Linked DNA regions of Drosophila melanogaster. The protein of the gene in region 1 purifies or fractionates together with the protein of each later gene. This does not show direct contact. Each region holds a gene or a part of one and is shown on either strand. Other genes may lie near its edges.

Evidence for each region. The genes of interacting proteins can lie anywhere in the genome.
Region 2: the proteins of Cyp28d1 (region 1) and CG6656 purify together in Drosophila melanogaster (affinity purification with mass spectrometry, with the first as the bait; one large-scale study listed by BioGRID). This does not show direct contact.

What each region holds. Positions count from the first base shown.
Region 1 is NT_033779.5:5,207,694-5,214,634, reverse strand, and holds Cyp28d1 (cytochrome P450 28d1), read right to left. Parts: upstream 4,176-6,941; 5' UTR 4,134-4,175; coding exon 3,940-4,133; intron 3,885-3,939; coding exon 3,746-3,884; intron 3,682-3,745; coding exon 3,574-3,681; intron 3,445-3,573; coding exon 2,814-3,444; intron 2,755-2,813; coding exon 2,485-2,754; intron 2,423-2,484; coding exon 2,256-2,422; 3' UTR 2,190-2,255; downstream 1-2,189. Other genes in the region: CG7742 (uncharacterized protein), read left to right, coding at 49-318, 612-798, 852-945, 995-1,247, 1,303-1,772, 1,839-1,920, 1,973-2,146; Cyp28d2 (cytochrome P450 28d2), read right to left, coding at 5,416-5,579, 5,642-5,914, 5,985-6,612, 6,670-6,777, 6,839-6,941. UniProt on the Drosophila melanogaster protein: May be involved in the metabolism of insect hormones and in the breakdown of synthetic insecticides.
Region 2 is NT_033777.3:21,871,696-21,879,066, reverse strand, and holds CG6656 (uncharacterized protein), read right to left. Parts: upstream 3,775-7,371; 5' UTR 3,578-3,774; coding exon 3,437-3,577; intron 3,353-3,436; coding exon 3,257-3,352; intron 2,720-3,256; coding exon 2,591-2,719; intron 2,493-2,590; coding exon 2,379-2,492; intron 2,307-2,378; coding exon 2,169-2,306; intron 2,072-2,168; coding exon 1,667-2,071; intron 1,601-1,666; coding exon 1,436-1,600; 3' UTR 1,279-1,435; downstream 1-1,278. Other genes in the region: P5CDh2 (delta-1-Pyrroline-5-carboxylate dehydrogenase 2), read right to left, coding at 1-257, 490-569; CG34148 (uncharacterized protein), read left to right, coding at 479-580, 648-834, 990-1,120; CG31178 (uncharacterized protein), read right to left, coding at 4,255-4,908; CG31431 (uncharacterized protein), read right to left, coding at 5,546-6,195, 6,266-6,479, 6,542-6,657, 6,927-7,032.

The DNA.
Region 1 (6,941 bases):
TGGCAGAGTAATACGTAGAAAGAACGGTCGGGTCAAGGAGCTATCGGCATGGAGGAGCTGCAGGATGCCAGCATCCACCATATGACCGCAAAGGTAATCGCGGCCATCAAGAACACTAAGAGCTACGAGCCCATCTACAAGGAGCTGCAGAAGCTGGTCTGCAATCCCAGCGTAGATACTCACGATATGCGCAACACCCTCGAGGATGCCATCAAGAGCGCCGGACTGGAGACGGAGATCCGGAATATTGTCTACAACCTGGTCCGCACGCGGCTGTCGAAAACAGATGACAAAAACCTGGCCAACAAACAGGGAGCGGTGGGTACAACTTTTAAGATACAATTTATCAAATTTCTTGTAATTGAATTTAGAATAATTGGAGTGGTATTTAAAAGTATTCCATGCTGCTCCTATCATTTTCTACTTTTTGACTTTATTGGCAAAATTTTATTTTATACCTTAACGTTTATAAAACAAATTATAATGATACATAATACCGGAAGATCTCGAAGTGCCACAACTATAGAGTTAGCCTTAGGGGTATTAGTAGTATGTAGTGCTAGGGAAAATGAATTAAATAGTTCTTTACTTATGTCTATATTTTCCAATAGAAACCCACCGTTAGTGATCCACTTGGATATTTAAAAAGAGCTGGTGTGCTTTGGGATCGAAGGGTTAGGAAGAGTTTGAATGCCATGTGTACAGAGCTGAAGGTTCCATTGCATGGACAACCAAGGATCAGTGCTGATCGCGAGGACTTTATGGCCAAGTGGAACGAACTGAGCAACTACAATATGGGTAGGCATTTCGTAAATATTGAAGCTAACAATTAACCATGGTTAAACTTCTAGATCTGGCCAACTATAGGCCTGTTTACGCTCCAAAGGATTTACTGGAGGTGCTACTCTCGCTAAAAGGACCCGCCAAAACCACTGAAAATACAGAGTAAGTTTTGGTTTAAATCAGTCAGGTAAATAATCATTTTGCTCATTAGTCAAATCCCCCAATGGGAGTTCTCCCACATTGCACTACCTGTGAAAAATCTTTTCGAGCTGCGTGCCCACTACGCGGATCTGCTGCGAAGTGATAGCTATTTGGGAGTGCCGGATCTTACGGTTCAGTGCCAGAGGATTCTGGAGGCCAGGCATGCGCCCATGTGCCAGCAGTTTCTGAAGAAGGGCTGCACACCCGCACCTTATAGGGGAGCTCTCTGGGCTTCGGTGCTGGACAGCAAGCTACATGACTACGTAACTACTGATTTTGGGATCAATAACCTCATTATACATCTCTATACCCCCGAAGGATATTGAGTACTGGCAAAAGCTGCGCAATGCCGTTTGGACTACGGATCACATCGTTGACAAACTGGTCTTCAAGGACATTCAGTTGACGGCCTCCAACGACGACCAGTACTTTGTGTTCGAGGACGTGCTCTACCAGGTGCTGCTCTGCTTTTCTCGGGACACCGATATCGGTGGATGTGTGGAATACGAGACGTTTCCGGTGAAGGGCAAGACCTACGAAGGTCCTCCATCGGGTGTGGTGCCCTTCCACGGCATCTGCATGTTTGCCGCCCCCTTTTGTTATCTGTATGACTCGCCGGTGAGTCTATACTATACATTCCGGGCCTTCTATATCCGGTACTGCCATCGCTTGACCACCATAAACACGCATCCTCAAGGGATTGTCAGTCTGTGCCTGCTCTTCGAGAAGCTGCTGCAGACATACGAACCGCAGTTATGGTCCCATTTCCGAGAGCTTCAGATACAGCCGTGAGTTGGGATTGGGTTTTTCGTTAGACAGCTATTTCACCCATTTCACGACATATCTTTCCTTAGCCTGCGGGTGGTCTTCAAATGGCTTATGCGAGCGTTTTCCGGACATTTGCCTCCCGATCAATTGCTGGTCCTCTGGGATCTGGTACGAAATACACCTCCGTTCTTATTGGCAGTACTTATCCCTTCCTTTTCAGATCCTTGGCTTTGATAGCTTGGAGATCCTTCCTCTATTCGCCATCATCATTCTTAGCTTTCGAAAGGAGAGCATCATGCAGGTGGCCTCGTTGGATAGCATCGAAGCGATTCTGGCAGACTTGTCCTCTATCAAGGTGCTGCCCCTAGTGCAACTAGCCCTAAGTCGAGACTAAAAGTGTGGTTTTAAGTTACAAAATTAAAGTATTAAGAGTGTTTGGAAATATAACATGTATGCAACTGGATAAACTATATTTAATATAAAGTCGTAACATTATTGAATAACTAATTGCGTTCAACAAAATCCAGCCAAACGCCGCCTTTTAAGGCTGGCATAAAGTAGGTATCATCAATTTCATTATCCTTGCGAGTTTTGGGATTAACCTTGATGTCGAAGTTTCGCACGATTTCCACCAGGGCAGCTTTGATTTGGGTAAGTGAAAACCGCATACCTACAAATTATGCATAGATTTTTTTTAGTAACTTTAATTGTTTCAAAAATGATGTTACCCACCGGGGCAAATACGTGGTCCATCGCCAAACCCAAAGAATAGACCCTGATCTCTGTACTTTTTGGCTCCGCCATTGATGTTCAGGAATCGCTCGGGCTTGAACGATTGAGGTTCCTCATAGTATTGGGGATCGTGGTGCAAGGCGTTCACAGGAATGATGACTACATCCCCGGGTCTCAGTTTCACGCTCACTCCGTTTTTGTTCGTCAGTTCACAGGGCTCAGTTACCACCTTGCGGGCAGCCAGAACAGGTGAGAAAATTCTCAAAGTTTCTGCAGATATAGATATTATACGCATACTAAATAACTTCAGATTTCGCCAAAAAACTCACCATGGATGCAGGCTTCGGTGAAGGGCAGCTCACTTATCTGTTCAAAGGTCAGCTCGGCGGTACCGATCTCCTCCCTCAACTTCATCTGCTCCTTGGGATTGCGTGCCAGGAAAAGGAGTGTGTGGGTAAGCACTTGTGCGGTGGTCTCGAATCCGTCCGTTAAAAATGTCATTGTGTGCGAGGTCAGCTCCGCCGCATTCAGTCCCTTTTTCTCCTGCAACTGCAACATGTAGTTGAGGAAGTCATCTCGCTGCTGTGCCGCCGGACTTTCCCGCCGAACTTGGATGCACTTCTGCATGAGGTCATAGAAGAACGCAGCCACGTCCTTGGCGAACAGCGAAACGGAGTAGAATTTCGTGATTGGTGGCCATAGATTGGCGACCACCGTGTAGAAAATGAAGCCAAAAGACTGTTCGAAGACGCGCTTGGTCATTCCCACCATGGGTGTGGGATTATCCGTGAAACTCTGGGCGGAAATGCCCAGGACACAATCGGAAATCACTTCGGTGGTGTAGCACAAGCAGAGATCCTTCGCATTTAGTCCTTGGGCGGGGGCCATCAGGCTCTGTCGCCTTATATATTCCACAAACTTTTTACAAACGCGCAGCGAGACGGGATAGGCAGCTTTGACCTTTTGGGGAGGCAGAGCGTTAATTGATTGGAGCACTTCAATTGATAAGGGTATCAGGGCCCCCAGTGAAAATAAACATTAGCACGAGATAAGTTTTGAATAAACAATTCGAGGGCAACCTAAGCTTACCCGATTTGCCGAAAGTCCGGGTGTAACTTCGGCGCGTCTTTCTTTCCAGGCCTCACCAGTCAATACGAACGGATTATTCGCCAAAATGGGATCCGTTTTGCTGTCGGTCTATTGTGTGAATTAACTTATGAAATGGGCTCCTAAGACCAGTATGTATTTGCAATCTACTCACAAACTTAGCCATCTCATTGTCGTGGAAGCTGCGGAAGTCACTAACATATATCTTGTGCGCATATTCCGGAGTTGTGACCATTAGTTGTGGAATTCTGGTTTGAAACACTCCCACAATGCTGTCGGTGTTCTTGTACTGCCTAATGAGATGATGCAATCAGTAACCAGATAACGTAGCTAACTCTATACACTTACTCATAGATCTCATCGATGTCGTAGACTACGTTCCGTTTCTGGGTGAAAACGCTGGGAAAACTGCCCACAAAGGGCCATGACTTGGCCGTTGGAATGCCCCTCTTCTTCCAGTAGCTAAAGTTCCATGTTAGAAAGACATAGATCAAGGCCAGGATGGCCGCAATTACAAAAAGAGCCGTGGAAATCGGACACATGGCACAACCTCTCGCCAACGCGGATGAAAACCAACTGGAACTCAATTGAGCTGCCGCAGTCATTTAAATTGAACTTGCGCGCCAGTCAAGTGGATGGATTCACCCAGTAAACAAATTGATCAAATTGCATTCACCACCGCTGTTAATATTTGTCGTATATAAAATTGCACCATTTGAAGATAATGCCTGATTTCGTTATCAAGATCAAGGGGCTACAATATACCTAGTCCTAGGTCATGCGCCACAAAGTAGTAGTACAAAAACTGTTAAGAAAAGCCATTTTATGATATGACGATGAAACAGAACTTTTCAGCTTGTCATTTCACTAAGTGCTCAAACTTACAATTATTGTACATGGCATATGTATCTAAAGCACGCAGATAAAGATGTGTTTTAAGGGAACGGTTTTAGTAGCATAGAGAAATGGAATAAACGGTTGTGAAATTAAACGACATATACATAAACCATAAACAATTAAAGGAAAAATAGCAATGTATCGACTTTTAAATAAATAAGTAGGATTGCAAAGTGCGATGCTTGATGAAAACAAAAAACAATGTGTCGTATTCAGAAGGTCCATCTATCAGTTGCATACTTTTCTAGGAATACAACATACCCATTTTCATTTAACGAGTAATGGGTATAGATACTCTGGACAAACAATGTGTGTAGCACCTAAGTAGTTAATCAAATTTCTGATTTCATTTTTAATTGGCGCATTATCTTATCAACACTTACAACAACACTTCAGCCATTTTACTATCGCTCTTCAAAATACGTCAAGCAGATGTCATTCAGTCGATTATCCGATCGCGTCTTGACGTTTACATTGATTTCGAAATTTCTTACGATCTCCACCAAAACTGCCCTTGAGCTTGAGCCTTGAGATGCCTATGATGGTGAATCGATTTCTTTATATTCTTTATACACCCCTTGATCTATAATTCTATAATTCTTATTACTTTTTATTATAAAATCTCAATTAAATCTTATATCTTGCAAGTATTTAAAATCGGATGGCCAACCTACAACCGACATGTTGCGCACTAGCAATCGAACTTGTTGCGCATGCAACATCACTGTCGAACCATGTTCGATCGAGCCTTGTTGTGGATCATCCGCAACATTTGCCTTTCTTGAGTAATAAATCTCTACTGCATTTTATTTTTTTTTTATTATCATGCATTAATCAAGGTTAATTTTAATTTTTGTTATTTCGAGCAAACAACTTCTCTTTATCCAGTTTTTTAAGCTTAAAGCTTACTATGATTATTGCTATTATTTAAAGGTCCTTAAAGTCCAGGTAAATACCACCCTTCAAGGTGGCCATGAAGAAAGTATCATCTATCTGATTGTCCGAGCGGGTTTTAGGATTAACCTTGATTTCAAAGTTCCTCAAGATTTCCACCAGAGCTGCTTTAAGTTGAGTCAGCGCAAATCGCATTCCTAAATGTAGAGATCGACTTATTGTAGTATGTGATTTTCAGATAAATTTTTATAACACCAACCTGGACAGTGACGAGGTCCATCGCCAAAAGCTAGGTAAACACCCCTGTCTCTGTAACTTTTCATACCACCTCCATTGCTCTCAAGGAAACGTTCCGGCTTGAATGTCAAAGGATCCTCATAATACTGCGGATCGTGGTGCAGAGCTTTTACCGGTATAGTAACCACATCTCCGGGTTTCAAGTGCACAGTGCGTCCGTTCTTGTTCGCAAACTCAAAGGGTTCGGTGACCAGCTTACGTGCTGCAACTTGCGGTGAAAACAAACGCAAAGTTTCTAAAATTATAAAATTTTATAATGTAGTTAAAGAAACTGAATATCAAGAGATCAAGATAGAATTTCCCACCATATATGCAGGCGTCCAGATGCGGAAGCTCGGACATTTGATCAAAGGTCAGATCCGCACTGCCAATTTCCTTGCGGACCTTATCTTGCTCCTCCGGATTACGTCCCAGCATCAGCATAATATGCGCTAGAACTAGAGCCGTAGTCTCGAATCCGTCTAGAATGAAGGTCATCGTATTTATCAGGATGTTATCCGTGTGCAGGCCCTTCTTCTCCTGCAACTGCAGCATATAGTTGAGGAAATCGTCGCGCTGTTGCTCTGGTTTTTCCAGTCTCAAAGTAATGCATCGCCGGATGATGTCCAGGAAGAACACTTCCGTTTCCTTGTTGAAGAACGGTACGCTGTAGAACTTGCGCACCTTTTGCCACAGGTTGGTAACAACGCTGTAGAAGATGAACTCAAAGGAGGTATTGAACACACGCTTTATCATTTTCAACAGCGGCGTGGGAGTGTCCGTGAAACTCTGGGCCGATACTCCCAGTCCGCAGTCGGAAACTACTTCGGTGGTGTAGCAAAGAGACAGATCCATGGCGTCCAATCCCTCGGAGGTGGCCATCTGCTGCTGTCGCCTGATATATTCCACGAACTTTTTGCATACGCTCTGCGATACTGGATAAACGGCCTTGACCTTACGGAATTCAAAGATAGAATTTTGATTGGATAGATGGTTAATGTGGTTCCTTACTCGATTGGGGGACAGTGCTGGCATGATCTCCGACCTTCTTTCCTTCCACTCGTCGCCAGTTAACACGAACGGATTGTTGCCCAATATCATGTCCGTCTTTTTGTTCACCTATGAACATTGTAATTCAGTAATGGATTATCCATTATTTACTAAACTTACGAGTACTTACAAAATTACGCCATTCATTGTTATGAAAGCTACGGAAATCGGTTGCATAGATCTTGTGTATATATTCCGGACACATGACCAGCAATTGGGGCACTCGGGTGGTA
Region 2 (7,371 bases), on another chromosome or scaffold:
CGTAATGGGCAATGGGCTGTTGGATGTCGTAGGGCAGAACCTGTTGGAAGTCCTCCTTGGCCTGGAACTCCTGGCCGTTAATAACGATGGGAACGTGCTCTACCCTATTGAGAACGCCCAGCAGGGCGGTTTCCAGTTCCGTGCGTTCCTTTGAGCCCTCGTCATACTGAAGCAGCTTCTCGTTGGCCACCATCTCATCCAGCGTAAAGTGCTCGGATAGCTCGGGTCTCTTGCTGGTACTTCTAACAGACACGAGGCTTAAATAAGATTGAATGTTAGAAAATATGTGTTCGAAAAATAATTTCAAATTACGCGCAATTATCGACTTATCGCTACTGCTATCGATGTAATAACAGTATGTCGATTATCGATTGCAGAACAGCTGTTGATTCGATAAGAGAGCAAAAGTAATAACAAAACCCATGAAAGCCAATTGTTATTATTTTGTGATGCAATAGTTTCAATATTTGGATACAAAATGCAGCTTACCCGCCTTTTACTGAAGCCTCGAGCCTCGGAAGTATTGACCGCATATTTGAAACAATGCCATGAGCCACCTTGGACATCATATTTCGTGAAGGTAAGACTCCCCTTTTTCCGCCCCAATATTTTCACCAGATCTAATGAGAAATATGCTCCAAGTCTAGTTTCACGATGTGGCCAACGATCAGAGGGGAATGTCTCACTTTAATTGGACCCTGGAAAACGGAACCAACTATCACATTCTTCGCACCGCCTGTTATCCCTATATGAAGTACCACTGTAGCAAGAGGGAGGTGCAGGATCTTTGGCTGGAGGACAAGTTCTTTCGCTTCCTTAAGGTGATTAATTTGGGTAAGTCCAGTAAACGGATTATGCTACATAGGTCCGTGGTAACTCGAAAAAGGTGTATGCCCTGTAATGAATCCCGAAATGCATATGGGAAAGTCCTCATTCGAGTTTAATCAAACTCCCAAAAGACCGCATTTATATCCTTAAATTCTACACAGGCTTACCAATGCTCTTCTATGGACTGGCTGCCATCCGTCTAATTAGTCACACCGAGATCGTTCATGTCAGCGAGACGGTAAAAGTTCCCATATACTTTCTATATCCTGAGGACAAGGGCTCAAGCTTTTGATTTGATTTCCTGAACTCCAAAATGTGAAATGTGAAGAAAAGCCTTCTTATCTAAATATATGCATATTCAGTTAATGTAATTAGAAGAGAACACTGGAAATATCTCATCCATATATGTATGTATTTGTCTTTTTGAGATAACTACACCTTGCATTACTTAGTTTGTCTACTTGACTTAGTTTTATTTTAAAGCTATTAATTGAAACCAATTATTTAAAATTATCCAAAATCACATCTGACTATTTCTTAGCAATGGCCAGACACTTAAACAACAACCCAGAACGACACACACTTTCAACAAAGTCTGGAAGGCATCTTATGTTTTGCAATCGGTCGGATGATTTTCACAAGTCTCATCATAGTTATCTAGAAGCAGGGCCTTTACAGAGGCCTCAAACTGGGTCAGTGAGCACGGTGCATCGCAATTGGGAATGGTCAGCTCCTTGGGGAATTTGTCTTCGCTGTTGTAGTAGTAAACCAACTGCAACCAAACAACCCAAACTGGTAAGAATCCCATAGTTAATAGTAATACGCTACCAATACCAACCTTCACTTCAAAGTCTCCATCACTGAAAGACTTGCTGTGATGAAGCTCGAAGGCCAATGCCGATGCATATTCCGGAAGCTTGGTAGTCTGGTCCAGTATGCCCAGGGAATTCATCACGTTAACCAAAGTCACATCATGACCGGAGTACAGGAATATTTTGCGATCGGGATTGAGATTCCTCTTGCGCTTATTCTGCATTTTGTTGAGTATATCCGTAAGGAAAGCGCCACCCTTAATCCGCTTCATTAGATTTGTTTCGGTGAATAGCATATAGCTACGTTCAGCTAGTGGCCTAATCTCCTCGGGGTATATATTCTCAGTCCAATCGGGCAGCACCAGATTAGCTTCCTCTTCGGTTTTGAGTGTGCCATAGAGTAGCTCCACGTCCAGTACATTTGAAATGTTCTAAAGGATAATATGATAATATCAGAAGTGAAAAAGTGAAATATATCGTATGGCAATAAAGGAATTAACAACCAATATGGGTGCAACTCTCTCCCACCTTGCCTGTGTTTTTGGTTAGCAATTTGTACAGCTCCATGTTGTCCTCGTTCAGTTTCTGGAGTTCAGGAGGCGGAGATTTGTAAAGCTTCTGCAGAATGTGGTCATATTTCAAGCACGGTTTCTTTTGGGCCAACAGCTAATAGAGTTAGATCATAGTACTATGATGATGACTTGCATTTGACTAATGGAAATATACAATTGCACTCACGATATCTTCATTGCGAGATAGCGTATTGACGGCCACCGGCTGCCAGGGAATGGGTAGCACATTCTTGTTCTCCAGCGGCGGCATCATGCCGGCCAAGACGCTCTGGGCGCTCATCTAAAAGATAACACACGGCCAACTGATTAGGGCACCACCATCTCGGACAGATAGCAAATAGAGTTATAGAGGATTTCTTATCGAAACAATTGACGCACCACACAGCGTTCCGCGGCCGAGCTGAGCACATTCACCTGCTGCTGGGTGTAAAGGCTGTTCGGAGGCAGCAGACGGTAGTAGCGCATGCGCAGATTCCTTCCCAGGTTGTACGCCTGCAGGCTGCCTTTCTGTCAAAGGGGGTTTAAGAAATTTGTAGAATATAAATATCTTTATTAAAATATATTAAATAGTAATGTATGTTTTACGTGTCTAGCATTAAAGTTTTAGATATCACCAACTTGCATCTATAATTCATTCTTCATTGATCATTTTGGATCATAAAATTAAAACCAAATTGGAGTTTTAAATGCAATGAAACACACTGTTTTACATTATTGACATTATTTATTTACATGATAACCGTTTAATAAATACTCTTTAAAGTGTAAAAATTCGTACGATAAAATGTGTTAATTGGAAAATAAATAAACATAAACGAGAGCGTTATAGTCTAGTTTCTCAGCTAGTGCAAGCAATAATATATCAAATAGTACGAAAATCAAACAATTTTTTTTTAAATTTCCAAAAGAATGGGCGTGTCAGTTTTGATCAGCCCTATTGAAAATTGATGTGTTATCACTTATACGTTTTGAGTTAAGAGAAAGAATTTAAAGTTTAGGTAGGATCCATATCCTAATCTATACTATTGTATATCGAATACTAACCGGCGTGAGGGCTCCCATCCCGCCCTGCCAGTCGTGGGCAGCGTGCGGATCCAACGGATAGAAGCCACTCGGATTCTTGGCACCATGTCGGAACAGCTGGTGGGCATTGGATTGGATTGATAAACACAGTGCTCAGATCTCGTTGTTTACAACTTTATGCCAGAAGTGGCGGCAGCTTACTATGGATATCATGCGTAGATTCCGCAAACCCTGCTCGTCGTTGCTGTCGCCGAACACAAAGTATGCCATCATGACGAAACAGAGGGCACTTCCCAGGGCGATCACCGATATTTTGGTGCCGCGTCGCGATTTGCAGTCCATTTTTAGGGAGGGGGTGCGGTGGCGTCTCTATGCTCCTGCTGCAGTTGATCGAGAAAATATATTTCAGATTTGCAGCCTAAAAATAGTTTTTTGTTTATTTTATAGCGAGTGTTTTCGATTTCGCTGCCCCCGTCGACGAAACAAATAATAAATAAATACAAGTCACGTCCGATGGCAACAAAAGCCGTATAACAACTGAGCGACTGTCGATGGAAGGTTGCCTCACAGCCAGAAAGAGAGGGGGCGCTAAGAAGCGAGAGAGAAGGCTATATAAAACAGAAAGAGCCAGCTAGAGACAGTCGGAGAGCCGGGGAGACAAGTTTTCCATGTGATTTTGGCATTGCGCGAGAGTAAAGTCTTTGAACATGTGCGAATAATTAAATTAGTCGCTCATTGGCAGTACAAATTGGGTCTCGACTAGGTGCTACTGTGTGCAATATGGTGGTCTATCAATTTGCACTCATGTGAAAAACATTGTTTTTCAAGTTATTTGTCTTGCCTTTATATCTTACCTTGCGACATACAACTATCGCTAATCATATACACATGTAAGTTAACCAAATAAATATTTATAAAATATATATATTTTGATCACTACAAATTCCAACGAAAAATCAAAGAGGGTAACGTTTTTTTTCTATAGTCAAACGTAGATGCTGAACTGAAATATGAGATATCTATTTTCTGGATTTTGGTGCCTGTTCCTCGGCATCCTCCTCAGATGGTTCGCTGGTGGGTTCCTCAACCAGGTAACCCTGCTCGGTGGTATATTTGCGCTTCTGCGATACTTTTCTTCGCCTCCTGAAAACCGATTCTAATTTAACGTATTCCCCCGATCTTGACTGCTCGCTAATCTCCACCGATGAATAACTCTTTGACGAACGCTGCGAATCGCCAGATTCCTCAGCTGCGCCGGACTCTGAATTTGAACGGTTTAAGCAGAGAACAATCTCGGGAATTTCATAGCCGTATCCCTCGTCGTCATCGGTGTGCTCATTCTCCATTTGAACATATTCTAGATTTGGCTCATGGAAACATGAGTTGGATTCAATGGTTGGATATATAAGACCAGTTTCCAGATTTTGCCTAGTTGGCAGAGCCAAGTGCGTTTGCATATCCGATTGATAGTGGATAACGCCCATTGGTCCAGCTACATAGGCGGCATTGCTATCTGGAATTGACCAAGTTGATGAAGCACTGGTCATTATGGAGTCAATACTATAGGAACGGATTGCACTCGCATCACATTGGATCAAAGGATACTCATAAATCCCGGGCATTATGTATTCGTAGTATCCCATAACGGTACGGCGTCGCCTCGATCCAGACATTTTGGCCAGTTTGCTCCTGAACAAATGGACGTCTAGTTAACCCTGATCCTGGATAGTTAATTTGCTCGATATTATGAATAATTCTAGTAGGAGAAGTCCCCAATTGGCTCCAGTTGATTAACAATGGCCACTCTCATTCGCATAAAATAGATGCGAACATTTAATTCCCACATCAAGTGAAATTCCAGGCAAAGTTCGATGATCATCAGTTTTGTGGATATCGAGTACCAGTTCTCTAGGGGATTAGGCAGTCTGCTGTAGCGTGTATGGGATTGCTGTAATCAGATGCGATGATGGCGATGTCGGCGGTGTCCAAATGAGGACTTTGTCTGCCGGAAACTGAAGACGAAACAAATTTGGAATTTCATTCGACGAAAATTTTGAACTTTGCTTAGCTTGCCTTAGTTACATGCGAACACTACCTTCACAGACAACCAAGTGGCATAAAAGTATAGGTTTTCTAGATTTTTAAAAATGTCCTTATTGATGTAGGCATTACAGTTGACTCGATTAGCTCTAAAGTTCGCATAAAAAATTATATATTTATTTCAGATTGTAAGTCTACTTTTCATAACTCTATAGACAGTCTTTATCCATAATCTTAATAAGCGTAGTGCAGCTTCAAAAATATTCGGTTTTAATGCTTGTTTCCCCCGAGGACACACCTTTCCGTGTCCAGATCCTCGTCCGAATCTATTCGCTGGCAATCGCCGTGTCCCACAGAGCAACGTTTGTACAACAGATAACTGAACCACACGGTCAATGGAAGAAGAGCCAATCCCAGTGGCATAAGGAAGAGCAGCAGGAACTCCCGTCGATCGCTAGTCGGAACTCCCTCATCTTCATTACCGTAGTCCGACCAGTACTCATTCTCCTGATCCGTATCCTCCACATCGGCCAGCACATCCAGGAAAGCCTCGCGGATCTTATGGCCTCGATAGCTGATGGCCACGCAGGCGTAGTGTCCGGCATCTCGTAATCTCACTCCGTCCAGAATCAATTTGCTGAGATATATCTGGGGTGCCATCATCTTTTCTGGATCGGTGGACAGTAGTTCATATGTTCGACCATTGTACCGGACAATATGGTTGCTAAAATTTGAGGTTGTGGGTGCCGAGGAGGCTTCGCCACCTGACTGAGTTCCCACGTACGTCTGCCGGCGAAACCACTTGATTGTGGGATGCTCCTCGCTGTGAACACGGCACTGGAACACCACCCTACTGCCCACCAATGTGGTCTTGTTGTTGGGATACGAGTCCACAAACTCAGGGGCTGCCAATGAGGTGTCTACAAATAGAATTTATACATAATTTTCGATATGGTATATGGTATATATGGTGATGAAAATTGTACATACTTTTAACATCCAGCTGATAGGTGCGAACCAGTTGAACATCCACAGCCTGGGCTTTATCCCAAATGTGCGGATTAATGCTGCATTTGTACAGTCCCGAATACCGCTCCGTCACATTCCGGAGCCAGAGTTCCGGACGACAAAGACTCGGCTCACATGGCAGAGCAGTCCACTCGTCCACAGATCCCAACTGATGGCAATTGTTTTCGCTGCATTGCTGAAATAGTTTAATGCTAATCAATGGGTACCAACAATAATAATAATAATAATAGTACATACCTTAAAGTACCAATGTATCTTGATGTCATTCAGCATACTCTCATCGACCAGACCTTTGAGATTGCACTGCAGCTTGACATCGAATCCGGCTCTCTGTTGAATTAACTCTGTGTTCTCTGCACCGGCAAAAAAGATATAACAAAAATTCCGAACCATTCAATCAAGGCAATGGCAATGTTTACTTTTTTCTGTGTCAATGATAGCCAAATTGACAGTATCTTATCAAGCGTTGTGCTCCCCGAAATTGCGATTAACCTTCTGAATATTTTGACGAATGAAAGCGGAAATGTGTAGTAACAAAAAGAGCTTCTAAATGAAAATATGCACGTACTTATATATATATCTTCGAAATTAAAATTACCCTTATAGTAAGAACTAAACTCACCTGTATAGTCAACAAAAAAACAGCGGGACTGCTGAAAGCCGCACAGGCAAATGAGTATCAATAGCCAAATGCGGCCAGACCACAGATCACAAATCATCGGATCCATTTCCACTTAGCATATCCGCGACATTGTCTTCCACTTGCTATCGCCGAAGGAACCTGTCGAACACTTTGATTAGTTACTTTGGGGCACACACAATCGTTTGGCATTTATTTATTTGAATTCCGCTGGCTGGCCGGCCATTCGTTTATTTCCCAAATGATCGATTTTCATTTAATTTCTTAGCAAACAAACGAGGCTCTCAAAGTTTCTATTTATTTATTTGGTCGACGCGGTTGCATTTCCACTGGTTCTAGCACATTTTTCACACATTTTATTGTGCGCTGTCGGCAATGAGTGTAAAAATCCACTTTTGTTTATTTACTTGGCCATTCGAAGCGAACG